Drosophila melanogaster: one gene and its partners. The protein of the gene in region 2 interacts with the protein of the main gene of each other region in a pairwise test. Each region holds a gene or a part of one and is shown on either strand. Other genes may lie near its edges. The genes, in order: CG6763, CG10948, Edg78E and 7B2.

Region 1 (7,730 bases), on a different chromosome or scaffold from region 2:
ATTTTCCCATTGTCCGCAAAAACGGCACCTACGAGATCATCAGCGGTTATCGTTCGCATCATGTACGCCATCGATTGCCTCTCAAGGGCGGTAAGTGTGGTTTTATCTCATCTATAGGCGTATTCTTAAGCATCGGATCTCCTACAGGAATCCGATACGCTCTGGACGTGAACGAGAGCGAAGTTAAAGCCCTTGCCGCCATTATGACGTTCAAGTGCGCTTGCGTGAATGTACCTTATGGTGGATCTAAGGGCGGCATTTGTATCGATCCCAAGAAGTATACAGTGGATGAGCTGCAGACGATCACACGGCGATACACGATGGAGTTGCTCAAGCGTAATATGATTGGTCCCGGCATCGATGTACCGGCGCCCGATGTGAACACTGGTCCGCGTGAGATGAGCTGGATTGTTGATCAGTACCAGAAGACATTTGGCTACAAGGATATCAATTCATCGGCTATTGTCACCGGGAAGCCCGTACACAACGGCGGCATTAATGGTCGACATTCGGCCACGGGCAGAGGCGTTTGGAAGGCGGGCGATCTCTTTCTGAAGGATAAGGAATGGATGGATCTGCTCAAGTGGAAGACGGGATGGAAGGACAAGACGGTCATAGTGCAGGGATTTGGCAATGTGGGCTCCTTTGCCGCTAAGTATGTGCACGAGGCGGGCGCCAAAGTCATCGGAATAAAAGAGTTTGATGTTTCTCTGGTTAATAAGGACGGCATAGATATTAATGTAAGTGGCTCTTCACATTTTCTAGGTAATTTTATGAAAAAAAAACCCATTACGTTATAGGATCTTTTTGAATACACTGAGGAAAAGAAGACTATTAAAGGATATCCAAAAGCTCAGGAGTCTAAGGAGGACTTGTTGGTAGCCGAAACCGATATCCTTATGCCGTGTGCCACCCAAAAAGTGATAACCACCGACAATGCCAAAGACATCAAGGCCAAGCTGATCCTGGAAGGCGCCAACGGGCCGACCACACCATCTGGCGAGAAAATCCTATTGGATAAGGGTGTCCTCCTAGTTCCCGATCTCTATTGCAATGCGGGCGGCGTAACAGTATCCTACTTTGAGTACCTCAAAAACATTAACCACGTGTCATATGGCAAAATGAACTCTAAATCTACATCCGAGCTTATTATCGAACTGATGAACTCCATCAATGAGTCTTTGCATGAATGCCCCGATAGTCAACTAGTATGTCCATCCTTACCCTTAAGTAGTATAGTATAGTAAATCCCTTACTTTTCTCCTTTAGCCGAACATATGTCCCAATAAGAAACTTAAGAGGATACAACAATGCACCACAGAGGCGGATATCGTGGACTCGGCTCTCCAAACAGTTATGGAATCTGCAGCACGTGGCATCAAGGAGATGGCCCACAAATTTGAATTGTGTAACGATCTGCGGAGGGCCGCCTACGTTTGGTCTTCATTCAAAATTTTCCAAGCCATGGAAAGCTCCGGAATTTCCCAACAGTAGTGGTTTACCCTCAAGAACAAAAGAAATTCACAGTTTTTCATTGGTTAATTTTTAATTCTTAAGTTGAATAAAAGAGTTACTATTTAATTAAAACATAAAATATGCCTAATTTAAATCAACTTACAACCTATATTGGCATAAATATTGGGCTTTGATACACTTGGTATGAATCTAGTTAAATATTTATCTATTTAAGTATGAAATATACGCCACATACGCCTTGACATACAATTCATATCTTATTTAGAGTTTAGACAGAGAGTTTAGAGTTTAGTGATTAGACAAACATATTGCAACTTTTTAAACACTACGAAAGCAAGCATACAAACACGAATATTCTGCTTGATTTTCGTTACTAAAGTCTCCACTTTTATAAGGTGGAACTCCGTTTTGGGTTAGCTACTGAAGAAAGCATTCACCATGGAGGAAATCAAGAAGTTTGACAAGCTTGCCTTCCTGGAAAGCTACCTGCTGAAGCACAAGGAATTGGGCAAGCGACAGCGCGAGTACAAGAAGATCCTGTCCAGCAAACTCAAGACCCGCAAGGAGACCATCATCGAGGCCAGCTTTGAGACGGCCATCGATCAGCTGGAGGAGGAGAAAAACGATCTGCGTGCCCAGATCTGGGTGGCCAGTGGTACGACCCACAAAAAACAGAACAATCGCTGGCTGGAGCTGATTCGCTGCCATGTCGAGTGCCAGGAGAATCTGTCGCAGGACATTAACTCTCTGAAGACATCGATTTCCAACATGGAGAAGGAGATAAGTCGCATGTCCAAGCAAATATACAACCTGAATCGTTTAACCATTCCGGATCAGCAACATCAGGCCTATGTAATGCGAGCACGGAAAAGGATGACCATTTTGGAGAATTCCCTGGAGGTGGGAGTGCGTCAGGAGTGCGGTTTTACGGCAGCCAATGCGGATCTGCGAGAGCAGCTTATCCGCATCCTGAATCATCGCACCTTCTTCAATGATTCATACACCAAAATGGTGCAGAAGCTGAACAGCGAGAAAAAGTATCTCATAGATCTGATCGAATACGCTCTGAATACCTTCGATGGCTGCATTGAGGTGTACGAGAAAATTGATTTGTTGGCCAAAAGGGAGGCCAAGGAGCGCGATATGAGACGTGTGGAGATGCAGGGTATTATGCGAAAGGTGGCAGCCGATGGTGATAACACCGCCTTCCTGAATTGCAAGTCTAAGCCTCGAGAGCTGGCCGATTTGCAGCCCAAGGAGTACAAGCGAAGGGATGAATTCCGACGGGTGCACAACAAAAAGATCAATCTCTACAACTCGGTGCTGCAGAAGATTCTCCAGTATACGGAATCTAGCAATATGGACGAGGTGATCGATAAGTTTCAGCAGCAGGAGAGTCTCTATTACTCGTTCTTCAACTATGCCAACGAAATGAGCTACCACATAACTATGCTGAATAATTCGGTGAATCGCCTGTTTGAGGATATAGTTAACCTGAAAAAGGATAACTCCAACACGCTGCAGGACCAACTGGATCAGATTTCCAGTCTGGAGAACAAGGTGCGTAACAAACAGGAATCCAACATGGAACTGCACAAGGCGCGGGAAAACAACGATGCACGTTTGGAGAATCTTCTACAGGGCGTGGAGACGGTCTGCGAGATGTGTTCCATAGATGCCAGTCCGCTGACCAAACTCCTTGGTGACCACACCCACGTCAATCTGGTTAATGTCAATCGATTCTTGAAGCTGCTCGAGACAAGGGTCCAGGAGCTGACGGCTAGTGTTTATGTGATGGAGCGCCAAGAGGAGGGCCGCTTCGACTATGTGGTCAAGCAGATCGAGAAGATCTGCGAGCTGCCCACCGATCTCAATGACATTGTGCTCACCCAGCAGTGTCCCGAGTGCGCCGAGGGTGAAGCCTTCAACATGGATGAGGGCGGCGATGGTGTCCTTGTCCACACGGTCGCCGAGGCCAAGAAGAAGCTGTACGAGAAGGTTACGCAGCCGGAGATGCAGTACCGCCTGCACAGCATCAGCCAGTGTCGTCTGCCGCGATCCCGTCTCCTGGCCGCCAAGCGCAACATGTAGTTCTGGAATATATGATGCAAATCACATTCCCATTAGTTTCGGTTTCAAATATGCATATGTGCAACATTTTCCGGTTAGATATCTAGGACTAGAATCGTCTGATTCTCATGTTTCGGTTGCAATTATAATAAATTCCCAAGTTAACCTACAGCTTAAAATTAGTCGATTCCAACTGATGAATATTTAAATCCGTTTGTTCAATTCATGCTAAATTTTAATAATTATCAACTAAACATATTAGCTACATGTTTAAGTAATGGTGCTAGATTTTTTGTATGTGGAATGCGTTAAATACTTTCGAGCGTTGGTGGATGGTACGAGCTAGTAGATTCTGTCTATGAACTGGTCTCCTTCTTTTCATCGCCCAATCCCAATCCGCTGATCAGGCCGCCGATGAAGCTATCTACAATCGGATTGCCACTGCCAGCAGGGGCGCCAGGAGCAGGAGCAGGGGCGGGTAATCCTGGGGCAACTGGAACAGCGTTGACGGTGCCACAATCGTACATACGATTCAGCTTCTGGATATCGTAGTCGGAGAAACCATTCCTCTGGCCCATTTTATCGGCGCCATTGGCTTGCTGCGAATGCAGAAATTGAAGAGTGTTAAGTTAAACCCAGGAGACTTTTGGTACCATTGTACTCACCATGGCCAGTATGGTGGGCTGTCCGTTGATGGAGAAGGCGTTCTTGGAGTAGTGCATCACGCTGCCATAGTCGTAGGGCACCCCAAAGGCTTCCGTGCGGGCGGCCTTTTCGAAGTTGTTCATCGCCGAGGACTGGACATTGTTGTACTGGATGGCCACATAACCATCGCGCTCCATACGGTTCTGTTCATGAAGGAAGCCGAGGGCGTGCATCAGCTCGTGCATGGCGGTTCCTGGACGGCTGAGACAGCCGGGAGACTGTAGGTTCACCTCCTGCTTGCCACCCACTCGACCAACGGAGGACCAACAGCCGGAGTTGTCGCCGCGAATGGAGATGTAGTCCCGCTCAGAGCTGCGCTTCACAAACCGAATGCACGTCCGACGATGGTACTCACCAATGGCATTTTCAATTGTGGCCATATCTCTGGCATTGAAGTTTCCTCGGATTTCATATGGCACCACACCATTTGGCCAACGGGAGGACTGAGTGGGCAGTCCATTTTTCATAATCAGATCCGTTTGCGGCACCAGCATATCACCCTCCAGATAGCTGCCCAGTTCCTCAGGATTCATCTCATCTGCATCCGCACTAAAGTTACCCACACGATTCGCCGTTAGCTCCTCATCCGGTTTGCCAAAGAGCGCCGTTCCCAATGGTGTCAGGTCGATGATATCCTTGCCAAGAGTGGGTGGTATCTCCTCGATTCCATTTCCAGGCAGCTCGATGACCTCCGTATCGTCAACATCATCATAGGATACATAGGGAAGCGCTTGGCAGGACGATAGAGCCAAAGCTAGGACTAGAAAAACTTTCAGGCTCATTGTTATAATCGTAATTGCTTTTGTTTGGGTGATTGGATTGCCTCTTTGTTGAATGGCTAGAATGAAACTGTGCTGAGTTCTGACCCGGTCGGGATTTATATATTTTCCAGCATAATCGCCGCCGCCAACGCTTATCAAACTTTGCCGGTGGCGGTGGCTTTCATATGCATAAACATGTTTTCCACGAGGAAACCTTCAACGGAGCTGCAATCGTCATCGCTGGCTTCTTGGTTTGTCACACGCTTTATGGCCTGGTAAATATTTGGCCAGCACTCTCGTTAAGCGGCTATACATATGGGACTGTGTCTGTCTGCTTCGCTATTGCCATAAAGTGTATCAGTAGTTTGTTTGCATATCCAAAGTTTAACGACTTTATACGTAATTTGTCGCCCCCAAAGCGATAACCGATAAGCACTATCGCGGCGACCTCTTGCCTTTATGGATTTATACCGCCTGCTGTTGGAAGATATTCCGGAATAATTTGCCGGCTATTTGGAGTGGAAAGACACGCGAAACACTTGTATAATTTGTATCTACGGAACTTTGTTTCCACTCCAAAGAAATCTTACCAAATGGCATTGAAAAAGTTCATGTTTTGATTGTAACTTTGCGGTACGTGCTTATTAGAGGAAGCAAACTCTTGTGATTACAACTTTAGTTCTTCTTGCATATGCTAAGCTTACTTTAATTATTATAAAATGGTATTCAAGTTACAAAATGAATGAGAGAACGTGGCTAGAGGACCACTCTTGGCTGGCCGTACAATTATGATTCAAATGAGACTTTTACGTTTTCTTAAATACTTAATGTTATTCACATGGCGGCGACTTCGATTGATGGTGGGAAAAACAGAGCTGAAAAATCCCAAGACTTTGCTCATTAGCCAGACGACAATATACAAGCATAAACATCTGTATTTGTTCTGGCCACGAATTAAGTTCAAGTGCATGGCATATGTTTGTCTGGCTAACAATAGGAGCTAACATTAATGATTGACATAAGTTGGTATACATTTTTTCTAGGTATCGAAGCTCATTTCCACTACCATGTTGGAATCGGAGTTGGCAAACTCCTCTTCCTCATCGAACTTTAGCTTCATCCCATTAAACTTGTCCGAGTTCAACACCCGGCGACTGTTGGCCGTGATATTCTTGGCCACGTCTCGCAAGGCCGCGCTGCAGATCTCATCAATAGTAGCCGAGTCGTCCATAAGGTCTTCGATACAACTCTTAAGGATCGTAGACGTCACTATGCAGTCTCTGTTCAGGGCCAAACTCTTGTGGAAAGCTTCGATGGCGGGGTCTAGATTTCCTAGCAAAGCATGTATAAATCCTATTGAAGTGTATGTAGTAGGACTTTGCGGCTTTAATAGAAGTGCCTGAAAGTCAATCGTTGAATATCAAGGACATATCAAATACCTATAGTACAAAAATATACTCACATATTGAAAGTTGTATAGAGCTTCCTCGTACTTATGCACCTTGCGCAGCGAATGACCGAGATTTATAAAAAGCGGTTCCCAGCGGGACGAGATCTCCTCGTTGTTGCTCTTGGCCCGCTGTTTCACAATGTCCACGGTGCACTGAAAAATGGTGGCGGCACCGTCAAAGAACTCATACTCGTACTTTATCACACCAAGCTCATGAAGTACATATACATCCAGCGGCGCAATATTCATAGCCTGTAGGAAAAATTTCTCAGCTAGCTCAAGATTTTTAGTTAGCCCGCACTCCACACCTATGTAAAGCAACGGGAGATGACAACCTCGCATCAGTTGTGTGGCCTTAAAATAGGCTGCCATTGCCTGCTCGTGCTCATTCTCATTGGCAAAACTGTGACCATAAGCTAACCAAGCGGGGCCATAAAGTCGGTCCAAAGCAGTTGCCTTGGAGAGATAACGCCGGGCAGGATCACTTTTGCCAATCATGTCGTAGTAGCAGCCCACGGCGTACCAAGAGATCGCTTTGTCCGGATAACGGTCCACCAGCTTATGGGCTACGTAAAATAGCCGATTAAAGTCGCCGTTTTCCACCAGACAGGCAATCTGAATGGTCAGTGCAGTGTTATGAAAGGGATCCACCTTAAGGAGTCTATATATGATAAGCAAAACCAAATACATTTTTGATCAATATAAGTCTTTTACGCCGTTCTTCACTTACTCATTGAGTATTTTCAGGCACTGTTTGTAGTCGCAGTCGTAGAAACACTTCTCCGCCTCAGCGGCCATTAGGTCAGTACTACGTTGTACCCGATCAAGACATTCAGCGATAGGAATTAATGTGTCCGTGTCATGATCACGCGATCGCCTCCTACTGGATGAGTCAAACATGGACCGGTGAGAAGCATCAATGAGGGAAGAAGCCTTTGAGAGACTAGTTTGTAGGGAAAATGTGGGCGCCTTTAGATCTTCCAGGACTCTTAAAGATACAACTTCAATAAGAATGCGCTAAATATTAGAAATATCAGGAGAACTGACTTCTGTGCGGGCGACATGAACTGGCTGGGCGTAAGCGGCACCTTGACGGCGCTCACCTTGGGCATTTGTGTGTCTGACGACCCGCTCTGCTGCACTCGAGCTGTAAATTCCTTGATAAACTGGAGTATGTCAGGATTAACAATGGGGGACATCTCCTCAGCATTGCGTGCGGAAATCAACTCGTAGTACTTCTTCAGGCGAGATTCATAAAGTTTTAGTAT
Region 2 (11,121 bases):
AAATCGATAAACAAAAAACAAAAAACAGACACAAGTGGCTGAGCAATTAGCCACTTGGCATTTTTTTAACACCAACTATCATCTGATTTGGCGGTTACGCCCTTTAATTGAACTGAATTCAATAGCACATTCACTATTTACAAGATATATTTCAACCGCTTTTCAAGAGACATCTGCTTGCCATTCCTTGCCTGTCAAAGTCCTGGCACCGATTTCTCACCACGCCCGCCACTGCGCATGTGGCGTATGATTGATTTTCTACAACTGACCAAATCAGCCTGTTGTTGTCTAGTAGTCGGCTAACTGGAATTGAAGTCTACTTTTGAATGAACATCTTCTTCATTTTTGTTAGCATGACCGCATTCGAGGTGGCCTTAAATCCAAAGTGGAAAATTTATAGCGAAATATATTTTTACATTACAAGAATCTTGAATTTTTCCGAAAATTCATCCTTCTTAAAAAATACAGCAATTCGTATTTTTAAAAATACAGTTGATTTAATTTAAATTTTAAAATAAGATTTAAAGTGTTTACGTATATTATTGAATATACATAGCAGAGCAAACCAAAAGACGTGGATACTTCTATACCCAACGAGGTTACGAAAAAATCATTGATTTGAAAAGAATTGTCTGATCCCTGATCAATTCTCCGATGAACCCCATTAAAGCCAGATACTGAAATTGGATTACTTTTATATAATAAATTGTTTATATATTATAACGGATAAAATAGTACTGTTTTTCTCATATAACAACAAGTTGGTTAATGTTATGTTCATATATAAAATAATACAATTTATCAAGCCGAAAGAGCAAAATTCTAATTTTGTGACCAGAAATCAAAGCATATGAAGAATATGCTGCTTATGAAAGAATTTAATTAGCAACAATTCCAAGCAAATATTCCAACCAAGCACATTTGTAATGCCCGAAAACAACAATAATTTCGTGTAGAGTTTCATCAACGGAATGAGCAGTAATTACTTAGTTATTTAGCATTTCTTCGTAAGGGAATATAGTATGCAGCTTCTTTTAGTGATTTTTTTTCGATGCATCATCATAACTGGGTGGCAAGTTCTATTAGATAAGACACAAAAAAGAAGTTAGACATTTTTTCAATACAATGTTCCACATCGCTTACATTATAAGAAGGTGGTAAATCATTGTTGCCTGATCCACTGGGCCCGCCTTGGTTGTAGGGTGTGTTGTAAGCACTTGCTGCAGCTTCGGCTTCTTTGGAATCTGTTAAAATAGAAAACAATCCATTTTGGTAATAAATGTTCTCAAGCTCGATATACACAGCATAAAATTTACACCATTGCGATTCACCTCTTACAATTTATGTTTACGGTATCAAAGCTGGAACCAGCACAACACACATGGGTCTTTGAATTGGATAGAAATAATGATGGGTGCTGCCGAATCTGGCTACTATTGGTTCGCATTTTGTGGGTAATAAAGAAAAAGTTAAAGAAGAAACCATTAAATGTCACTAAATCAAATCGGATAGACTTAACTACTTGAAGACTCGGCTTTTGTTAGTAATTTGCTTTGGGTAACATTGAAACAATAAATCTTACTTGTCGGGATGGCTATTTGAGGTACAGTAGTTTGCTTTTAATTACACTGTAAAATAGGTCAAAAGATAAATGCTTTTTTTTAGATTCGGGAAATAATTTTGTTTTGATTAGTAATAGGTTAATCGTTATTTGGATATTAGGTGAGAAACCTGATAAGGGAACTCAAAAATGGGAAAAAAACAAATATAAACACTACCAAAAAAGGAATATTACACCGTCAAATGAATTATGCTAACAAATCATTTATTATTTGGACAAATTGAATAATTTTGTAAGTGAGAAAAATAAACAGAACGAATGCTTCTGAATGGTTTTTGGATGCCTCTTGAATACTTTGAGCGTCCGAAAGCAAAAGGTGGTTCATGATACTTCAATTAAATTCTTGATAACATTTTAGATCTTTAGATGTTTCGACTATTTTAAAGATGTTCATAATTTTCTTGTCCTTTTGCTCATATTTTTTTATCTTTTGCTAGAATAAAACCAATTTAGAAATGTGCATTGTGGGAGGGAAATGTTAAAAAAGTGATGAATGGGATGATGAGTTCTACTCACTTCCAGGGGGCAAGCTGAAGCCCATAAAGCTGGCTCCAGATGCGGCGGCTCCTCCAGCTGCTCCTGCTGCTTGTTGTCCGGGTGGCGGTGGTCCACCTGGATAGCCATTTGGATTTCCATTCGGTTGCTGAAATCCGGGGGTATTAAATCCGCCAGGAACATTGCCGTATCCACCATATGGCTGTGGACCATTGTACGTCTGAGCCGGAGCGGCGTACGGCGGCTGTGGTGGACAATTTGGGGCACATGAAGCGTACGGCGGAGGTTGGACATAGCCACCGGCCCATCCTTGTGGCCCATAGCCCGGCTGCTGTTGTTGCTGCTGCGGCGGCGGCGCTGAAAAACCATACCAATTGGGTTCATTCGACGACGGTGCCTGCGGCTGTTGCGGTGCTGGTTGGTGAGCAGGTGGTGCTAAGACGAAAAAGAGAGGAGTGCCCCATTGGGTTAAACGAAGCGAGTGCGTAGCGTGAATTTCGTGGGTAAGCCAGGTTGCCAATTCGCGTAGCCAGCGTGCCAAAACAAAAGCCGAGTATAGATTGGGTAAAGTGCACGTGCGTTTAACTTACCGATACCCGGATACGGCGGCGGATTGTCGCTCATATAGACCGTATTCGGCGCAGGGCCGCTGAATGCGTCATGCTGCGGCAGCCAGCCATAGTAGCCAGGTGGTGGCTGATATGCCGGCGGTGGTGCCTCATTCCAGGATCCAGCCGGCTGATATGGTGGCGGATCATCACCAGCCAGACCACCGCGGTGGTAGTTGTTCATCGCCGTCTTGGCGGAGCGCAGTAGAGCTTGACCATATCTATAAGAAATGGACTTGTTAATCAGAACATTATATATTCTCTTGAGTCTATTCAGTATTAAGACTTATCAAGAGATCCGTCTAATTAGTTTTAATTTAGGTGCACAATGCACTTACTCAATTGCGCCGCCTGCCTTGAAATGGAGCTTGAACTTGACCTCGCCCACGTAGTTTCCATTTGGCTGAGCGCGAACCTTTCCCTTGATGTAGTTGGCCCCGAAAACGGGCTGTTCGATTTCCACATCCGAAAGAGCAACAAACGGGGCACTGAACGACTGCATCGAATCCGAGGACTTCTTGCTATTGAAGATCATTCGGTGGGAGGTGAGATAAATCCTGCCACCTTTGGAGCCCTTGAAGATGGGATTGTCCTGACCGGAGAACTCCATGGAGACACTGTCGCTGTGGAGCAGTATGCTGAAAGTGTAAAAGCAGTTAATTTGTGTGCCATATTTCTATCTTATCGCTGGAACATAGGCTAATTTCCTTTCAAATCGCCAGCCACACGTCAGTGTTTACATTTATGACGTCAGGGATGTTCAGCATTTTCAGTGTTAATTAAAGGACTTTTCCGTTAACTTACTACTCTCCAGCATGGATGAGCACGCCATTGTTGGCGTGAGCCGTATTAACCGACATGTCTCTTTAATTTTCCAACTGTTTTGAGTCCACAAAAATTTGCAAAAATTTCATACAACTACGTTTTGTTTTTCTAGAAAACTGACGACAGCTGATGATTCATAGTGAAAAGTGTGGCAGCGCCGAAATTATCGGATATCGATACTCTTTTTAGGGTGACCAGTACGAGCAGTCACTCATCTCTAAATATAATTAGTTTTTTTTTATACATACCTGTCGTACAATTACTGGGGCGTTAATATGCGTAAGTGATAAGATAATGATTTTAAAAAGCCCACAAAATGTGTAGCAAAGAAAATGGAATAAATAGAAAGGTCTGGGAAATTAAGAAACAACAGTATTTGCGGTGAATTCGACTTTTATCAGCAGGTGGGACTTACGCCATTTTGGGCACTTGCCACCCCCCAGCTTTTATTTCCTTTTTTTACCTATCGAAAATTGAGGTGCTCAGCTGATTGGTTATTTTGTTTTGCTACCGGCTTCGTTTGGGTTGTTATCTCTTTTAAAGCAAATTACAAACTGTGTACATTTTGCAGTACCGCTCTTTGGGACCATGCCGAATGGCGTCAGTTTGCCAAATCACCCGAATTTCCTCAACCAATTGGCAGCTGCAATTTCCACGGCGGCCTCGAGCACATCTGTCGTGGGAAATCCCTCTTCGCCCCCCAAACAGATCCAGAATAAGATGGCAAAACAACAACAACAACCACAGGGCAGTGCGCCCATGGATCTGGAGAATGAGAACGAACACTCTGCGGATGTGAGCTCCTCGACGATGCACAAGGAACCCAAGTTGCAGGCCACATCCAACTCGCTCACTCTGCCCGATTCGACGCAACTATACCTGAATGGCTTGGTGCACACACCACCTGGATATCTGTATTTTCCGGCCACCCAAGCGGGTGGTGCTACTGCACCCGGCAATCCATCCTCGGCTGCAGGGGGATCCACGCCGGCAGCTTCAGCAAACAGCACCGCCAATGCGCAAATGCTCATGGATCCTACGGCCATGATGGCGGCGGCGATGCAACAAATGCAACAGATGCACTATGCAGCGGCAGCAGCAGCCGGAATGACCACAGAAACCGGAGCTGGACTAGAAGCAACTCTTAATGCGGGTAATGAAAGCAATACCAAATTGGAACCTTAAATAAACATTCTAATAAAAACATACTTTTAGATGGCGTTACACCAGCTGGCCTCAAGGAGGTGATCAAGACCAAGAACTGCATCCTGTTTCCACCTAATCCGAACGCACCTCCTCCCACAATAAGGGAGCGACCACCAGGATGCCGGACGGTGTTTGTGGGTGGACTGCCGGAAAACATAACCGAAGAAGTGATCCGGGAGATCTTCGAATCATGCGGCGAGATCACCACATTGCGCATGTCCAAGAAGAACTTTTGCCATATTCGCTACCGCCAAGAGGGTGCCATAGATAGGGCCATCTACCTATCCGGCTATAGATTGCGTATATCAGCGCTAAATGAACCTCCCAACTTTGGACGCCTGCATGTGGACTACGCACAGGCACGGGATGATCAGTATGATTACGAGTGTCGACAGAGACAGCATCAGAGGGAACAGCGTCATCGTGAGCGCATGTCGATGGACAGGATGCGATCGCAGTCGCCGCCACCAATACCGCACTACACGGATCACGAGGCTACTACTGTTGCGGAGCACCTACGCACCAACGAGACTTTTGTAAAGGCCATTCAAACGATTACCGCGTGGCTGGAGCGGGGAGATTGCACTAAGCGGAACGCCAATGTCTTCTATTCGATGATCCAGAGCACTCATGCCCATGTACGAAGACTCCATGCAGACAAACTGCAACTGGAGGAGGATCTAAAGAAGGCCAGAGACAGCTATCGCAACCAAATGGGCACCATGTCCACGCAATGTAAGTATTTCGGCCTTTCAGCCGGAAGATCAGCTTTCTTAGCTCTAGTCTAGACGGGAAACTAGGCGCCGATCCCACTTTGAAATCCTATTTTTCTGTTTACGTTGCGCCCGGGTTAGCCTTTTAGCGTCTGTATATCTGAACAATCTACCAGCGTACTACACATCCAAACACCTACACCTACACTGAAAACACACCATACCCATCCTACACAATATTTAGCAAATCTAGTCATCGAATTATTAAATGCCAAACTCCACATATGAAACTACCGTCTAAAATTTGCTCGCCAATGGTCGCTGGAGCAAGCCCAATGAATCCAAGCAGGATCAGGTAAAGACTAGCCGAAAAAGACGAAGCCCAAGGCCGCCGCACAGCAAAAGTCAGTGGATGAGGCGACAATCGAGATTGCCTTTGTTCTAACATCTGAAAATGTTTTGTGATGGTATATGGAGCCTTAGCACAAGCATTGGCATTTGAAAGATTAATGCATTTACTAGGAAGTTCAGTCGTTTTAATACGTTTTACTAAATTATTACTGCCAATTAACTACCGCTAATAAGTATTAAATCAAAAACCCGCTTAAATTATCAATTATTTTGATAATTAATATTAATGTAAAACTATAAAACTACATTTCGCATTCATTTAACAGTTTGATTTCCTGATTAAAATGGAATATCATTTCTTATTCAATCATGTTTATTTAAAAAGTTGGTCGCCCTTTTCACTGATTCGCTCCACTGTGCGGCTGATCCTCACTCACTTTCACTGTGTCTCGACACCACCACAAAAGTCTTAAGTCTTATTTGGCCCAAAAGGTTTGTAAGCCGCAAGGCAGAGAGCAAATTGAAACAATTGGTACAGTAATGGATTGAGAGGTCCTTGTAGAGCATCTCAGATAATCTCAGACTCGGACAAACGTAAAGATAGGTAATCACGCTGTTGTATTCTCTCTAGATTGTACCTAATATATCAACCTTAAATAATCGTAACTACTCTAATTAAATAATTGCTATGCGAGGGTTTCTCCTGTAGTTTAATTTCAATTTTTCATTTCTCACTCATTTTATTCGCAAAGAGAACAAGTCTAGTTTGACAAAGGTGAAGAGCAAAACTGAAAACCAATCCAGATAAACAAACAATCAAAAAAAAAAAAAAATACCCTCTGTCCTCCCTTAATATTATTATATATTATTGCATTATTGTTCAGTCACTCAGATTGAAAAAGTGTTCAATGCCGCTAGTCACAAGAAGGTTTGGGACCATTTCACCAAAGCCCAAAGAAAAAACATCGATCAATGGAAGAAATTAGCCACGGTACGTACTAAAATGTTCAAATAATCAAATACGAACAATTTCAAAGATGTTGCAAATTGTGTAAAAACAAAAAATACATTTATTGTCCAATAACTTCGATTCACTGTTGTATCTCTTGGTTTCATAATGTTGTATCCGTTTATGTTGATGTTGTTATCATCGTTGTGGTGTTGCAGTAGATTTCTAACCATTTTACTAACGCAATTTCTGTTATCATTCAGCATGTCGCCCATTCACCCGTCCTATATAATCATATGGTACTATTCCATTGGTGACGCTTATAGCTGCTAATTGCTTTTTATTAATTGTTAATTTCTTTTATTTGTCCCGTGCATTAAGACTCTTTTTAGCTGTTTGTGTTTTTGATTATCGAAATTTCCAAATCAGTTGTGATGTCACTAAAAAAGAAACAATATTAATATTAATGTAATTTGCAAGCTTAAAATGTACTATCGTTTAAATTATGTAGAATTAGATATATGAATAAGATTATTTTAAGGGAAACTGTTAAAAAACTAGTTAACTATATTACTATATTTCTAAGAATTCATTTTACAAAGTAAAAGTGCGTTTTTTAAACAGTTTCCTGATCATAAACACTCATTAGTATCTTTCTAAATATGAGGTCTTTTACTTTTATTGCTTTCGCTCTTGATCTGTAATGCTTTGGTCTATCTTTTCTTGGCTTTCAAGTATCATTTGTTGTTGTACTATCTCTATTTTTAACTAAGCATTTGCATAACATTTCCGATACGCTTTAAATACATCGAACTAAAAGTAAACCTTAGCCGAGTGTCCACAAACCTTCAAGTTTCTATGGGAAATTGAATTTTATAGAAAACGAGGAAGGTTTTGATGGGCACTCAGTGAAATCGATTGGTTGTGGTAAATAGCAAAAGGAAGAACTAAAAACATTGCTGCTGTGAAACATAATTTGTGCAACAAATACAAATTAATTTTTAATAGCAAAAAGAAATTAATCGAAACAAATTCTAAAACTTTTTGAAAATGTGGCGAGGTAAGTAAGCGGACCAGAACAGAGTCGTAAGCAAGGAAACAAATTTGATGCATTATTTAAATACACAAATTTTATAGCTAGGTTATAATAGTGTAAGCAATGGTACTCAAACCAAACGAAACCTATCCAACTAGTAGCAACGGATAATTAATTGAAGTTCCTTTCGCATGCCACGCAGGAACTTCGAACTGTCCAGATCACAGATGATGATGAAATGGAAATCTCCGACGATGAGCGGGACTACGATAGACGCGGACACAGCGCCAAGCGAATTCGCTACGACAGTGATGGCTTAAAAGTATGTTTATCAAATAGTTTAGTATAAGTAACTTGAAATAAAATAAAGATTTTAAATTGGATCAGGACGAGAACGACTCTCTACGCTGTCAACTGGAGGCCATTCGTCACGAGATGACGCTGGAGCGCAGTGATTATGTTCAGCGCGAAAAGCAGATAAAGGTACTTCAGGAAACCATTCGCAACATGCAGACCCAGTTGCTGCAGACGAAGCTACGCGAACAGAAGGACAACAAGACCATTGAGCAGTTGGAACGAAATCTCAAGGATGCCGGCATTAAGCAACTTCTGTTGAAGACCAAAATTAAGGAAACAGTGGACAAATTAAGGGACAAAGAGGCAAATAGCGCTGGAGCCTCAAATGCTTCAAACGCCTCAAATCTCGACTACAGCAGCGGGGATTCGTGTAGCCGGGAAGGCACAGAAATTATCCGCCCACAGGCAGAACCGGAAATAATTGATATCGATAAAGTGGATGATGATGTCCGCATCATAGAGCACCAAAGCGGTGTGGTGGAGATACACGAGATCGAGGACGATGAAAAGCAGGAGCCCGCTAAGGATTCTACGAAAAGCAAAGCAAATGAGTCAATTATGGAAAATGTTTCAAAGTCGAATCATGAGGAGACTATAAACAAAAGCAGCAAAGAGCAAATCCCAACAGTGGCCGCGGAAGAGGTTAGTAATGAGAATTATTTGTGTAACTATATATATATATAGATTTAATTACTTAATTTATCTTAGTTTTACATGCATCTAATTATTTCATACATTCCCTTGCATATTTCTAATCACTATTCCTTGTTTTAGGTGACTTTCAAGTCGCTAGTCTTGTCTGAAGCCAAGATAATTGCTCTGGCCTCAGCCTATCTGGTGCTGCATCCCTATGGCGTTGAAATCGCCAACATAGCCAGTTACTTAAGCGAAATGCTGCGCAATAACGCTGCCCCCAGTAACCATGATGATCTAGCCAATATACTCGGAAAGTACACAAATCTCTTCAAGCCGGAAAAGGAGAAGTGGAGATTCTGTGGCTTCAGCGAACCAACTGAATCTCAGACGGAGTCAAAGTGAGGGGATGAATGCGGAATGTAGACTCGAATAAGATGACAATTAAATGCTTTAATTATCTTACAACTATATCATAATGAGTAGCGAGTAAGCGGAGGAAAGTGAAATGTTAACCAAAGGAAAGACGCAAGTTTTTCAATGAAATCACGACTTAATGAGACCAGATCCAGGTTTAAGGGCAAGTACTCGAAGTTAACTCAATCGGAAGAAAGACACCACAAACTAACTACCGTTTCAATTATTTAAATAACTCAACCTAAAGAATATATATACACTTAAGCTAAATGAATTCAATATATACAAAATATATATACATCAATATTTTAAATAAACTGAGAGGCAGAAGGTCGCGTTGCTTTTGTTGAACGGAAGCGAAAGAATGGAACCAAATAAATTGTATGCTAAACTACAAAGAGTTTTCTTTAATTTGAATCAGATAAAATATTTGGTTAATGACACAAACACACATCTTTCAAGAGAGCTTAATCTTGAAATCGAATACAGCATCTTAAATATTTTGAGATTTCCATACTTATTTTTAAAATTGATTTTATTAAAATAAAATTAAACTTAATTTATGAGTTTGGTTATCAGTTGTAAGCTTCCTGATTCACAAGCTTTACATGATTCGTTAATTGAAATCGAACACGATGTCAAATAACATTAGCAGTTTTATTTGAGCTTTAACAAGATTGATCCATTAAAAAGGATTTAATGAATGCGATTATTATTCCAAATTCTTTTATTTCTTGTGATATTTTGACTAAAGTTGTATTATGAAAATACAGTCGAAAGAATTTTCAGCTTCCTCCTAAGCAAGAATTCATGGACTTGGTGAAATATTTTATTACATACAATATGATGAAGTCTGTTGTTATCCTGCAGAAATACATTACATATGTACATACACATATGTAACTCCAAAACATTACGTAAGGAGCTTACGTTTGTGGCGTAAGCCGCTATAAAGTGCGCGAAATGAAGCTGCGCGTCCTCTGCCAAGGACAATGCCCAACAGCATCCTGCCTCCCCGTGTCCTTTGACCCCTCTACCTCCCCGTTCTCTCCCACATATTTCAGTGACGTGATAAAATTCCATACTCTACCTATGAGTTTACCCAATATTTGTGACGTCAACGAAACGTTTATCGTACTTAAAGCGCGTTTGGAAATTTAGAATAAGCCGTAACCGCAAAAACAAAATTACTGAGAGATGAAAGTACAACAACAACTACATATGCAAAGGGGGAGATGAAAGAGAGAATAAGAACATGAGCGTAAATTTCCCAAAGCAAAAACAAAGTACTACGCAGCACGGAAAAAAATCACTTCTGTTTTTGAATTGGCCTAACATATTTTTTCAACCTAATAGGCGTTATTATACCTCTTTAATTATTACAGAGCCTTTTGGTATTTAAGAGAATATCTCTCTTATACCATCAAAGAATGAATAGCCATAAACAGCACGTATTTTCTCTCTGTGCATCGGTGTATTTGGAGTGCTTTTCTGCCGCTGTGCCGCTGCGAACGTCGACGAGGGAGGCCCGTCTATATCAATGCTATCAGTCGTTTTTGCGAATTCGAGGCGCGCGGTTCTGTTCCAGAAGCCCGCAGGAGGATTCCATTGGAACGAACCACTGATTTTGTCGTACATGTCCAAGTAACGGGGTGTTTTAAGTGCGTGCATGTGAACTGTAATTTCGTCCGCCGCTGTATATTTTAATATAATTACGTGCACTTTCTTTGTGCAAAAAAAACGGAACAAATCGAAAAAAAAGGGGAGATAAAGGAAAGTCTCTCTCTTCAAAGGACAATTCAAGTTCACGAATTCGAGTGGGAAGCTGCAGGGGCAACAACAAAACTCGTGTTTTTGTTTTTTACGCGGGTAAGTTCGATTTTCACCCGGTCTTTTGAACGTAGTTTGAG
Region 3 (6,497 bases), 8.5 Mb from region 2:
TATGTGGCCGCTCCGATATGACCTGCTATCGAGAACCAAAAATTGGTGGGCAGGGTAGCCACACAGAGCAGCGTTTTATCTCAGAAGACGCCAGAGCCACCGATTATTGGCATTTGGTTATGCTTATTAGATTTTCGTGGCTTACGTTTTGGCCCGTTGTTTGCCACATATAAAGTTGGAGAGACCAGCTGGCCGGAGTGGCAGTACGGTGGCTAACTTTAAACCTCGCAGACGTCGGAATTCCGCAGCGGATTACATCAAATCGGGATATTATAAATTATTACAAAATCAATCATAAAACTCCGAGTGGATATTGTGTATAGCTGACAGTGCAAAAAGACAAACCGAGATAAAACCGAGAAATATGCGAAATTTTGTAAGCACTTCGACCCTGTGTCCATTTGTGTTCCCCATCCGATCTGTGAACTTGATCGCTGATAAGACCTCTTTTGGTTTCAGCTAATTGGTATGGTGCTTTTGGCCCTGATTTGGGTGGAGGTGGATGCCCGTCTGGTGAGAGTCCGCCGGATCCGGAGATTGGTCGGAGCCAGTGAGCGGGATGCACGGATAACGGACTTCCGCGTTTCGCCCACGGATGACGAAGGAGTGTTTAAGTACGCCTTCAAGACCAGTAATGGAATCGATGTCCAAGCGGCAGGATCTCCGCTGGAGACCATTGGCATCTATAGCTACACCTCACCGGAGGGCGTTCCCATCGAGACGCGCTACATAGCCGATGAACTGGGCTTCCATGTAGTGGGACGTCATCTGCCGCAGCCACCGCCCACTCCGGACTATATCCTGCGATCCTTGGAGTACATTCGCACTCACACCGAGGATGGCAATCTGAAGAATCCGCACTTCTTGTGAAGTTCCTGACTGGATCCTATCCATTATACACATCGACTTGGATGCAAGTGTCCGTGAAGAAGGCTGACAATACTATAGCATGTACTAATCACCAACTAACTTTAGTAGCTTAAAACTTAAGACCTAGACTAAGTTGTTGCTAGATGTTCTAAGATCTTTGAAATGCCCAAATGTTTCTTGCCCTCGGTCTGTTCTGCTTGGGTTATAAATCAATCCGTCCATGCATCCATCGATTCTTTCACGCCGGAATTTATGGTCTTCGCGCCCATAAAGAGCAAACAATGGGGCTCGCCCAAACACAAAACACACAGTATCTCGGGCGACCCCAACGAATTCTATCTTGTTATCCCATTAACTGCGAACAGATTTATTTGTCTGCGTGTCTGATTAATATTTACGTCTATTCTCAGATATGGAAATTTGAAAACTGGATGGAAAAGAGTCGTGGCTCTGTTTGGGCGACCTTTCGATGGCTTAATAATAAACGGAAATTTTTTCCGGGTTTGAACTTCTTCAAAAGCGTCTCGGGCAGGATTTGCAAAATTTCGATCAAGTTCGGCTCACTCGAATTTAAAAACAACCAAACATATCTACATATTAAGCGAATTAAATGCCGCAAATGCCGCGAAAACCTCTGTTGAAGACATTTGTTTGTTTTTCTGCGTGTAGCCCAAAAGTATAGTTTGTTAAACACGAGATTTTGTTTCTTTTAATTTATCTCATCTGTGCATCACCGCTGGATTGGTTTTCAAAAATTTAACTATTGTAGTTCGGAAATCATAATGCGTTGAGTATAAATGAAAGTGGAAAAATAAATGACATAAATCAAAATCTATTACATAGATAAATGGTTTTATACAATTACTGGCTGCCGAAATCATTAACTAACATATACATTCTTCAAATTGTTCATTTGAAAGAAAAAAGAGCAATGTTAAGATAAAGAAATGTTTAAAAATGTAAACTCCATCCGCCTGAAATTTGTTTCTATTGAAGATAGTGTACGCTTCTATATTTTTCGAAGAACTATACATATGTTCATTTACATATGAATACATATACATGAAACATTTATTTTCCATCTTTACTACATTACTAAAAACGAAAATGATCTGTATCGAAATCCTTTATTAACGATAACTACCTAAATAACAATGACTGGCCGCAGTTTAGATGTGGGGTTGCTGCTTTGGAGTGCTGGTGCTACTCCAGATTACTGCTGCTCCTTCTGGGCGGGCGCCGGGGGATGGGTGCGGATATATTCCAGGGCACGGAGAACGTAAGCCGGAACTGGGGGCGGGGTGGGCAGGTGGTCACCCACTGGATGGTAGCCCTCCTCGTCGGCGGTGTATGTCAGCGAGATGTGCTCGCCCTCGGGCGACACGTAAGCCACGGCACCACGTGCTCCGTTGGCGTTGCCCGCCTCCTGGATCTGGATGCCATTGCTGGTCTCGTAGGCGTACTGGTAGTTGCCCTCAGCATCGGTAGCGTCGTTCTGGAAGCTGCGGATCTGGGCATCCTTGTTGATGTTGTCGGCGCAGGCGCAGCCGATGAGAGCAAGACAGAACAGCTTTTGGGATCAAAGTACAATGATCAGTATTGGTACTCTGGGGTATGAGGCGTGCCAAGTCCAACCGAACTTACATATTTGTACATGATGATGGGAATTGGGAATTTTCTTCTCTTAAAGCGGTGATGCTGTGATGATGGTGCTTGCAGTGCAACTGTTTAATTTGATCAGCTCAAGTGCGTCTTTTATATGGATGAGACCCTTGTCTTTAGTCTCTTTAGTTTAGCAGCTAAACAAGTTTTTTCTCGTGGAATCACAAGGACCCGAGAGGTGAGTATAATTGCCAAAATGTCTTCTTATCATACCACCAATATTGGGCAACAATAACAACAGTGCTCGGCTGGCCTATAGTTAAAATACATGAGTCATTTGCCAACAATTTATATTGTATGCTTTAATTCGGTTTCAGTTTCAGATTCGATTTCGGTTTCGGTTTCGCACGAGATACCATTAACTGTTGAATTACAATCGAATAAATATTGCTGTTTAATGTGACGCTTTCGGCCCATTCAAAACAGCGTTGGAAATTCCCAACACGAGCTGAAGATTTCTTGTTACAACTTTCAATTGGAGTTGCGCCCTGGGCTCGAGGCTTCCAAATGGAGTGGCAGGTGCGATGGTCTAGTATGGTGCGAGTATACCTTGTGCCCCTGGAAAGCTGTTGAAACGTGGACAAGGTCATCGGGCAGCATCAGCATGTCACCCGGAGCGCCGCCGAAGATGATCCAGCCATGCAGTGCGATGTTACGTGTGATCTTCTGATACCCTACATTTATGACTTTAATTAATTGTTCACTTTGATCTTCGGCGAATCGATTGGTTGCAATGGACGCAGCGATAGGTTCGAACGAAGATATTTTTTTGTTTCGAAATTAGCTTGGCAAACACCATCAACCATTGCAAACTGCTGTTAATTGCTGAGAATCGTTTCGGTAAACAAGGAAGTGTGCAAAATCCGAAGTAAGCTAGTAATTAAATGTAGTTCACACCTATCTCTCTACATATGTGTAGACTTCGATTCAAGAAATCGCCAAACGACCCAGGAAATAAACGTCATAAAATGGTATATTTTTCCCAGCCCAGGTAGAATGAAAGCAAAGCTGTAGACTCACACTAATCTGTTGGGACAATCCTTATGTATTTGCAGTGGATTTTCCTTCTTCTAATATTTCTGGATGTTGAGCCACACGCAATACGCAAAAACTACACCAAACCGGATGGATGTCTCGAGAATGCTATCAATTCAGAGGTGCAGATTCTGGACAGTGAAATACCTGGGTACTTCCACTTTGACCTGCCCGAGGGAGGATACATACGGGTGTTTTATCACGTGGATAAGTACGGCTTCTATACCGAAACTTTGCACTGACATAGAATGATTGAGAGTGTGTGTGTGTGTCTGTGCAGTTCTGCCATAATTGGAAACCAGATTTATTTCAACGAGTCTAATTTGTATTTAAGTTTATAAAAATAAAAATACAAATGCAAATATAGATCAAAAAGTTGCTTAAAACCGTTATAGAAATGCTGTTTAATATCTCGTGATATTCGGTAAGCAGACGTCGAAATGATCTGAGAATTTGTGTATTTGAATTTTAATAATTTAGCAATTCAGATTTGAGAGAATGTAGCCATCTGTCCAATACGTCATAGATTTCGGATAGGGCTTGGATGCTGGTGGGCCGGCTGAACTAGTTTGCCAGATCGGGTGGAGCGTCGATTGATGGGCATTTTATTAGGCGGAGTGCTAAGTGCGAATAGGCCTAGAATACAATTTATTACTGGACAGCGAATTTGTATGCTAATAAGCTGAACTTGCTGTTTTTTTTTTTTGGGGAATTTAAGAATTCCTTGATGAGCAAACAGGTTGTCCGCCTGCGCTCATAGCAAGCCAAATGGCCAATGATAATGAAATCGAAACGAATGATAAATTGGATTGGATGGAATTAAATTAGCTCGCCACGAGCTGCTGCCCCCTTCCAAATCCAAATCCAAATCCAGGTCCATCTCTAAACTTACCATCCACGGGCGAATGTCACAGTCACATGTTCCATTACCGTCGACATAACTCCAAGCCCCCAAAAGCTAACCAAAACTACTATTGGCCATTAAGTGCAAAGTCAAATGATTACCGCTACCAAGGCAGAAGCGTGTTGATCCATCGGCAGAAACCACTTGGAATGGGTTCAGGTGCTTCATTATACTCTAGCTAAGGCTGATATTATTTGGATCAGAGGTTTGCTTTTTTGAGATTGGTAAGATAAGTATATTGTATAAATATTTGAATTTGTTTTCGAAATGCAAATGTTTCAAGATAAGTATCATAAGCCACACCCCTTTTAGAGGCCGTGTAGTTCAAAGTCTTATATTGAAAAAAGAAGACACAAGCCAGTTTAGTCATTGAATTACCCAACTTCTACAGAATTACCACAATACACTTAATTTTAAATGACCATGCATGCTAATTTGTGCTTTATTTAAGGAAAATTTAAAACTATAATCCCTTGTTTGTTCTTCTATAAGAAAAAAAAAACGAAATAATAGCTCTCAAAGAAGTGAGCCCACAAGCCCGATTAATCAAAAAGAAAATAGTTTCCGATTAAGACGAAAATTGCTAGGCAGATAATTAAACTAAGCTAAGCCAAATGCCTATGATTTCTAGGTAAACTTAGCAATATCTGGCAAGGGTATTTCGCACTGCGGTGCTGAAATTCAGATCTCCTTTCCATTTTTTTACTAGCTGCTGAGCTGAATTTTATTCAATTCGATCGGTATGCTGCTGCCGAAAAAAAAAAACGACAAACGTATTAAGTTTGATATTTAGTTTGGAGCGGCGTTTGGAGTTCAGAGCCAGATTAGAGACGTCAGCGATGGCGACGCCAACGCCAAAGTCGGCGTTGCCGTTGGCTGCCTATAAAAGCCACCGCCTGCGAAGATCACCCAACCAGTGAGGATTATACAAGCCAAGAAACCAGCAAGATGTTTAAGCTAGTGAGTAGACTTAGCCGCCCGGAAGGATCCGGATTCAAAATCAGAACGTGAACGTGTGTAACCATTTCAGTCGCTCTGCCTGCTCGCCGCTCTGATGCTGGCCAATGTGTATGCGGACAACATAAACAAGGATGCCGTGATCACCCGCGAGGATGTTAATCCTGCCGACGCCGAGGGCAACTACCAATACGCCTTCGAGACCAGCAATGGTATTCAGGCCCAGGAGGCCGGAAACGTCAATGGCATTAGCGGAAGCAGCTCTTACATCTCCCCCGAAGGCGTCCCCATCTCACTGACCTACGTCGCCGATGAAAACGGCTTCCAGCCTCAGGGCGATCACCTTCCCACCGCTCCCCCAATCCCGGAGGCCATCCTCCGCGCCCTGGAATACATCGCCGCCCACCCTCCACAGCCCTAAATCCCCGATTGGATACCCCATTCAAAGCCTAGTCAGTGCTTTTGCTAAACATGAGTTATATCTAGTTCTAGAAAGTCTGTACATAAATCCCCCAAAAAATAAAAACATAAATAGTTACATCAAATATACCCACAGCCATGCTGATCATTTGAACAGAGTCAAGTATGTTTTCATTATACAAATCGGCAAAAACTAGCTGTACCAAATTGCAAACTTAAACTTCCCAGCGTCTGTTTTTGAATCCATAATTTTTAACCCCAAATTGCATACAAATTATATTATAATATCTTAGTTGTTTTTGGAAGGTCACACTTTTGAGCTGATATTTCTTTTGGGGTAAGGTTATTTAATCACAGATGCAAATGAAGGAACTTGAAATAGATGTCAGATTGTGTCAAAATACTTTATTTTAACCTGATTTTTCATAACGTTTTAAAGTACGCCTCCAATATCGGTTCATTCATTCATCAATCTTGAATCTGAGTCAGGAACATTAGCACATACTGTTTCCAAATGCTTTTCATAATTAAATCAATAATCTTGTGTTTGAAATGTGTTACCATATTAAGACAAATTAAACTGCTGTCCAAAATCATTTATCACACTGCAAACCAGACCCAGGAACTAACCAAGGCAAAAGAAAAAATT
Region 4 (6,654 bases), on a different chromosome or scaffold from region 2:
CCACGCCCACGTTCTCCTTGGCGGTGCGCGGGTAGAGCGTCAGCCAGGGCAGGTGCGGGTGCTGCCAGTAGTAATTGCATTGGTTGAACCGCGTTGCGTCCGAGATATCCAGCGTGCTCTCCGTTCGCTGCGGGTCCATGCAGCGCACGAAGCTGGTGAGTCCGCTGGCCAGCTGCGAGGTCTTCAGTTGGATGGCAGGCAGTTCCGTGGGACAGAAGAAACGGGCTCGCGTCTTCAGGGACCAGTCCACAGGTAGGTGGGCGGTGTGCTTCTGCCGGGCGGCCAACTCCGCATCGTCCTCGTCCTCAGCGTTGATTTGGGGATGCTGGAAGAGCTTGGCAAAGGCCTGCGGGTCGTACTTCTGGAGCACGAATTTGGCGGGCGCCGGGCGCGTGGGCGTTTCCCGCACAAAGCAGGAGGAGGCAGTGACCACTGGTTCGAGGTCCGCCAGTTGCGGATCAACGCGCAGTTTCTTGGCATCAGCTGTGGATCTGAGGCAGGGAGTCAGTAATTGGATTTTGGGGAGAGCGAGAGAGAGGGAAACTCACTTCGCAAACGGATTTTTTCGCTTCTGGGCGAGCTTAGCCTCCAGTAGCTTGCTTTTATCCGTCTCATCCACTTGGTGTCTTGGCCGCCTATTGTTGTTGTTGCTCACGCGGGCTGCCAATTTGTTCTTCTTCTGCTTGAGCCGCTGCAGTTTGATGAACTGGAAAACGAAACAACAACATTAGTGGCGGGCAGGTGCTCCTCCGAGTCCTTACCCACGTCATCTGGGCGCGTCCATTTGGAAGCCACACTCGCTTCGGTGGACATGTTCAATGTCTTGGTTCGCGCACAGGACCTTCACGGATTATTTAAGTACTTTGTGAACTGCAAATATCTTCAAAACGTTTGCAAATATCACAAAAAATTATGGCGCGCAACTAGGGGTGTGAAATCTTTCGATTGATTAGCTCGTTATTCGCTATTTTCGCCCATGTTCAATTCCCAAAAATATCGTTAGTCGGCAAATAAAACGAATCTCACAATTTAACTAATTATTTATTATAATAGATGGAGTAGTTTACAAAACGAAACTAACTTAAATTGTATATCACTGGCTGCAGGGGCTATGTTGGTTAACAATGGCATTGTTGGGCATCGAATTTGATTTTTTAATTTTAATGGTTCTTTTTGGATTTACAAGCTTCTAACCTAAATTAAACAAGCGCATGTTGTATCGTTTTAACTATTAATAAAATCAAATGAATAAAAAATCTTTTTGCGCTATAAAAATGTATCTGACTATCGGATTCACCGATAACAAATCGATTAAGCACTGTCGTTTTTCCAACTGTTTTATGATCTGGTAACACTTTCCGTCGCTGCGTTTTATGCTAAAAGTAAACACATTAACTTGATAAACAATGAACCTCGCCGACGTTTGCCGTATTTGCGCCAACAAAATTATGGGCCACCAGCGAGATCGCAACATATTCATTCACATGCGGGGAAAATATTTGGGTCAACTGAAGCTAATCACGGGAGTGGAGGTAGGTCGTTATGTCAGCTTCCGACCGCGCCAACAATTGTTATTACCTGGAATTTGTTCAGCTGACAAGAAACCAGGGGCTGCCGGAGATTGTTTGCGAGCGCTGCTTCTCCGAGCTGGACCTGGCCACCAAGTTCCGCGAGCGGTGCATCTTCTCGCAAAAGTACCTGCTGGATATCATAAAGAAGACCAGTGATCAAAGCACTGTTCACGTTGAGCTTAGTTCCGAGCCGCTGGACGAGCAACTGATCGATGCGGATCAATTGGAGACGCACTACGATGACGACCAGTACGTTTGTTATCAAGGCACGAAAGAGGAACACCAAGACCTAGAGGAAATCGAGCTGGATGACGACCCCTCTGCCGCTGTGATAGCGGCAGCAGAGGCGGCAGCAGAAGCGGCGCAGCAGGAGGATCTACAGGAGCAGGAAATGGAGCGGGCCGCCAAGAGGCGCAGTAACTTCTTTATCTGCGACGAGTGTGGAACCCTGTTCCACGATGCGTTCCTGTACACCGAGCATTTAAATGGGCACCAGAACCGGCGGGATATGAACCAGTTCTTCCCCTGCCCTGAGTGCCCACAGACTTTTAACAAGAAGGCGCTTCTCAAGCAGCATCGCACCCAGGTTCATTTAATTAACCGCAGGTTCCAGTGCACCATCTGCCACGAGGCTTTCGCGTCTCTGGGCGCTAAGTTGCGGCACGACAAGTAAGGAGGCTGGGAATTGAATGCTAGCGCAGCACTATATGCAACTTCCAATTTCATTTTAGAGCCCATAAGAACGAACGACCTTATCCATGCCTAGAATGCGGAATGATCTTCAGCAGCGTTTCCGAATTGCAGAACCACTTTTCGACACACTCAAAGCAAATCCGAAAGTTCAGGTAAGCTTGTCAGCTTGCGCAGTCATATGTCTTAATATCGTATTTTTTGCGTTTAGGTGTGAGCCTTGCAACATGGATTTTATAACTCGCCGAGGCTTGGTGGCCCATACAAAAACAGCACCGCATAAGCGCCTTGCCAAATATATGCAGGATGAATTCGATTTCATCGAATTGGCAACCTAACCCTCAATTATTACCACCTTCTTTCTAAGTAAATGCTAAGGTCAAAAAAATAAATCATAATTGAGTAGTTCAGTTTACTACTTCGCTACCATAATATTCGACAATGGAGTATCGGTTCAATGTTATTTTTTTATAAGTGTATTTTTAATTTATTGAAAATAAAATTCCTTCAGTTTTACTTTCAAGTCATTTTTTATAGTTCATACTTTTAAATTAAGGAGGGAATGGAAATTTATAGCGTATTACCGTGTAACATAAACCTCTAGTCATACAATTCAAGAAAATAAAGTTTTCTTAGCGACTAAGTTTTCTTATTTTCTTCCAGCATTTTATACTAATAAAGCTTAAAGAGGCCTGAAAACCTCAGCTCCAGCAGTTTGGCGCTAATCTAATTCTCGGCCCCCCACAGGACTGCTTCAACATAAAAGAGCTTTCGAGTACGGCGCATGCGTCCTTTCAGCTGTGGCTGCCATAAGGCAGCTTCGATTGGATCTGCGTATATTTCGCAAATTCAACTGGTAGCCGCCGCACGAAGCACAGAGCCCTACGTCACGTTAGTATATACACGGAATCGGAGCAGCTGCCGCCGAAAAATCAATACCTTACCAAACTTCGACGTGGACGGTTGAAACCGCTTGGAATCGCAATATGTTGTTCCGTTCGCAAAGTAAGTCTGCTGAAGTAATATTTATAGGTGGGTGAGGTAAGAGAATAGCCCATGTTTTTCCAGGTGTGTACATGATGGTGGCGATGCTCGTGGTCGCCTTGAGTGGCTACCAGGTGCAGTCCTATAGCGCCAAGGATATTCTTGCCGATGTCTTGATGACGGATCTGCTGAATCGCATGGACAAAGACATGCAGGTGGGCTATTACGACGTGGGCAACGAGGCAGCCGCTGGCTCCAAGGACAACGTGGACCTGGTCTCCCGGTCGGAGTACGCGAGGCTGTGTGACGGCGGAAGCGACTGCATCCTGCAATCGGGCTCGGCATCGGGAGCTGCCTCCCATCCTTCGCTGCGGGATGACGAGTTTCTGCAGCACAGTTCGCTGTGGGGTCACCAGTTCATCTCCGGCGGAATGGGAGAGGGTCCCAACAGGTATCCCACTATAGTGAAGAACGACGCCGGCCTGCCTGCCTACTGCAACCCTCCTAATCCCTGCCCTGAGGGCTACGACATGGAGACGCAAGGCGGCAGCTGCATTGTCGACTTCGAAAACACGGCCATCTTCAGCCGGGAGTTCCAGGCCGCTCAGGACTGTACCTGCGACAACGAGCATATGTTCGACTGCTCGGAACAGGATAGTGCTGATGTGGGCGGCGACAAGGGTGACCTGAACTCCGCCGTGGAGCAGTACATCATGCAGATGGGCCAGGAGAACAGCCTGAACAACGTTAACAGCCTGGCTAAGAAGGCCGGATATCCTGTGATGCCCGATCCTCGGCTGGACGACGCGGTCATAAACCCGTTCCTCCAGGGCGACCGCTTGCCCATAGCCGCCAAGAAGGGCAACCTTTTATTCCACTAAGGTAACTCGCTGATAACGCGAGCATACACGACGTTTCCATATGGGTGTCTAATACTATTATCTATCATAGCTGGTTATCAATGTTGTCCCGCAAGCGATGTCTAGTAATGTTTCTACCCTTTCCCGAAAATAAAGTTATTCGTATAGTACCAGGGCTCTAAGCCGAAAATATGCGGGTATTGGTCTAAACTTGGGGTAGGGTCTCCACTACCGAAGGTGGGTTCGGATGTAGCTTATCCTTGGGATGACCCAAGTTTGATGAGAGTGAGAAATATCGAATATCTGTTTGATGCTTCTATTTATTGTTTTAAAAAGTTTTACAATCCATCAAATCATCAATGATTATTCATTTAAAAAGAACTATCCTCGATATGTCGTCGAGTGTACAAATAGGCCACTGCGGTTCAGCTCCACGTTGAGTATTTTGTGTCAGCATGCACTGGCCGCGTGTTTCGGATGATCCACGCGGGTATTGACTTAAAGATAACCTAACAAATGATAGTATAGTACATCGCATGAATGTTGCTGCCACAGTGGGCGATCAGCCACCCAATTATTGGCACACATCGACACTGGCAGTGTGATTAGCTAAGCATAATGTTCGTTCTGTTGCCATGAAGCCTTATGAACGACCTGATCCTTCTGAGCCAGAGTGTCCTGGCTCTCACTCGCGTCCCTATACATACTATACAACACAATCCTTCCTTCTGACTACAATTCTAGGTATTGGCTTAGTCTTAAGTTTAGGCAGTTGATGGAAAGAGGCGGAATTCGTTAACAAGTTACCTAGGTCTAACTTAGCTCTACGTCTAGGATGGGCGGGTCCTTCACAGGCGACCTGTGCCATTACCGCCGCCGCCGTTGGTGTTCTGGCCCCAGGAGACCTGGTGGTGCGGGTGGGGATGGGGATTCCTGGTGGTCAGCCGCAGGGAGTTGCCGTCGCCGTCCTCGTCGATCACATGCTCGTAACCCTGGTTGATAGTGCCGCCCCCATTCGAGCCGTAAATCTGCTGCAAGTGTAAGCGGACGTAACAAAATATTTCCATGAGAATACACATATTTTATGATTATAAATTGGCCTTTACCTCGGCACCACCACCGTTCACATTGAATACATCCTTGATGCTGATGCCTGCATTCGAGACACGTCCGCTTCGCTGATTCGGCAGAGCTCCATTGTTGTTAATCTACATATATGCATTAAAGAAGTTATGATCCTGTATCTAAAATTTCTCCAAAAACTTTTCTAATCTCACCGGTGCTCCAGTTGTGATTCCGTACTCGTTCTTTGCTCCCAGAGTTTGCATCGCGGACTTCCGCCTTTCGGCCATCACCGAATTCTTACGCACCTCCAGTGCCCGGATGGTCTCCGCCCGCATTGTCAGGCGGCGGGTGAGAATGGGCGTGGCCGGATTGTTCTCCGCATCGGCGGTGAGTTTCAGGAAGCGCTTCTTGAACGCCACATCCAGGGTGCCGATCTGGCGACGTGGCTGTCGCGCCTTCTCCAGATTTTGAATGGTCTTCCGCCTGGCTATGCGATCTGGCCCGGAACCGGAGTCATTGTCGTAGTCGCCATCGATTCCCTGCAGCCTCTGCAAGTTCTTGACGATCTCCACAGCATGCTAAATAATATCATAATTTTATTATTTGTATTAATGTCAATTACGGGCCACCTACCTTATCTATTAGTTGGTCCTGTGTCAGATCCTCAGACTTCTTCTTGCAGAAGTTGAGTTCAGTCGAGGCCAGGATGTGCGAAATGGTTCCAAATCGATGGAACAGCATGGCCGTGAACTGGATTATCAAAATAAGAGCAAAGAAGAATACGAACACCAATCCGATGGGCTCCAGCTGAAGGTACTCCTTGGAGATGTGCACCTATGGGGGATGAGTAATACGATTAGCGGGGCCCTGAAGGAGTTGATTTTGGGTTAGTGACACTGAACGATTTGATTGGTTGACGGTTTGGGCTTGGATAATGGCTGATCTTGATACCAGTAGTCGGTGATTGTGGCATGTTGAGGTTGAGGTTGTGGTGTGATACCATTTGGGAGGTAGGTTATATGTCGGGTTTGGTTTTATTTATATATTTATTGAACACATTGATGTCTGAGGAACAATGAACATGCTGGCCGCACCTCTGGCCCTTGTGTACAGAACTGTGATTACTCAGAGGGGGATACTTAAGTATGTTGCTTACAGTTTACCGTGTTGTCATTTTAGGGCTAACTGTTAGAACCGCGAAAATGCCAAGATGTTGTTCTGTTGTTTTTACATGATGTATTCGTATGATAAACAGCCTGAACCATTAGGATGGGGCTAACAAGGTAAACGGGAGTACCGAGAACAAAGAGCATCATTAGCTGTTTGGTGATGTGACATGTTGGACATGTTGGGTAGTAAACATTTAGAGAAAGTGAAACTGAGGAGGACAGGCAGGAAGTTAGAGGACCCGTCCGGAGGTTTTAGGGTAAGACAAATACACTATGACAGCACAGTTGTGGGTAATACTATATAACATCGAGAAA

What was found.
Region 1: the proteins of CG10948 (region 2) and CG6763 interact in a two-hybrid assay, tested with the Drosophila melanogaster proteins (one large-scale study listed by BioGRID).
Region 3: the proteins of CG10948 (region 2) and Edg78E interact in a two-hybrid assay, tested with the Drosophila melanogaster proteins (one large-scale study listed by BioGRID).
Region 4: the proteins of CG10948 (region 2) and 7B2 interact in a two-hybrid assay, tested with the Drosophila melanogaster proteins (one large-scale study listed by BioGRID).

Annotation. Positions count from the first base shown.
Region 1 is NT_033777.3:23,282,077-23,289,806, reverse strand, and holds CG6763 (uncharacterized protein), read right to left. Parts: upstream 5,806-7,730; 5' UTR 5,034-5,805; coding exon 4,212-5,033; intron 4,146-4,211; coding exon 3,903-4,145; 3' UTR 3,766-3,902; downstream 1-3,765. Other genes in the region: bb8 (big bubble 8), read left to right, coding at 1-90, 148-740, 801-1,208, 1,270-1,494; wam (wampa), read left to right, coding at 1,915-3,567; Cdc16 (cell division cycle 16), read right to left, coding at 6,052-6,411, 6,475-7,123, 7,193-7,450, 7,510-7,730.
Region 2 is NT_037436.4:12,842,739-12,853,859, reverse strand, and holds CG10948 (uncharacterized protein), read left to right. Parts: upstream 1-3,742; 5' UTR 3,743-3,824; coding exon 3,825-3,828; intron 3,829-4,068; exon of another isoform or gene 4,069-4,120; coding exon 4,121-4,702; intron 4,703-4,764; coding exon 4,765-5,490; intron 5,491-6,703; coding exon 6,704-6,810; intron 6,811-8,006; coding exon 8,007-8,126; intron 8,127-8,191; coding exon 8,192-8,803; intron 8,804-8,935; coding exon 8,936-9,199; 3' UTR 9,200-9,606; downstream 9,607-11,121. Other genes in the region: Wbp2 (WW domain binding protein 2), read right to left, coding at 1,035-1,079, 1,144-1,244, 2,138-2,551, 2,707-2,945, 3,063-3,362, 3,529-3,584.
Region 3 is NT_037436.4:21,295,202-21,301,698, forward strand, and holds Edg78E (Ecdysone-dependent gene 78E), read right to left. Parts: upstream 2,603-6,497; 5' UTR 2,527-2,602; coding exon 2,515-2,526; intron 2,441-2,514; coding exon 2,084-2,440; 3' UTR 1,562-2,083; downstream 1-1,561. Other genes in the region: Cpr78Cb (cuticular protein 78Cb), read left to right, coding at 365-376, 460-870; CG43702 (uncharacterized protein), read left to right, coding at 3,576-3,809; Cpr78Cc (cuticular protein 78Cc), read left to right, coding at 5,420-5,431, 5,502-5,849. UniProt on the Drosophila melanogaster protein: Component of the cuticle of the pupa of fruit fly.
Region 4 is NT_033777.3:5,373,685-5,380,338, forward strand, and holds 7B2 (7B2), read left to right. Parts: upstream 1-3,095; 5' UTR 3,096-3,247; coding exon 3,248-3,266; intron 3,267-3,314; coding exon 3,315-4,126; 3' UTR 4,127-4,291; downstream 4,292-6,654. Other genes in the region: hd (humpty dumpty), read right to left, coding at 1-491, 549-706, 766-813; CG14667 (uncharacterized protein), read left to right, coding at 1,407-1,532, 1,594-2,240, 2,303-2,416, 2,473-2,599; kkv (krotzkopf verkehrt), read right to left, coding at 4,954-5,136, 5,212-5,313, 5,383-5,748, 5,804-6,004. UniProt on the Drosophila melanogaster protein: Acts as a molecular chaperone for neuroendocrine convertase amon/PC2, preventing its premature activation in the regulated secretory pathway.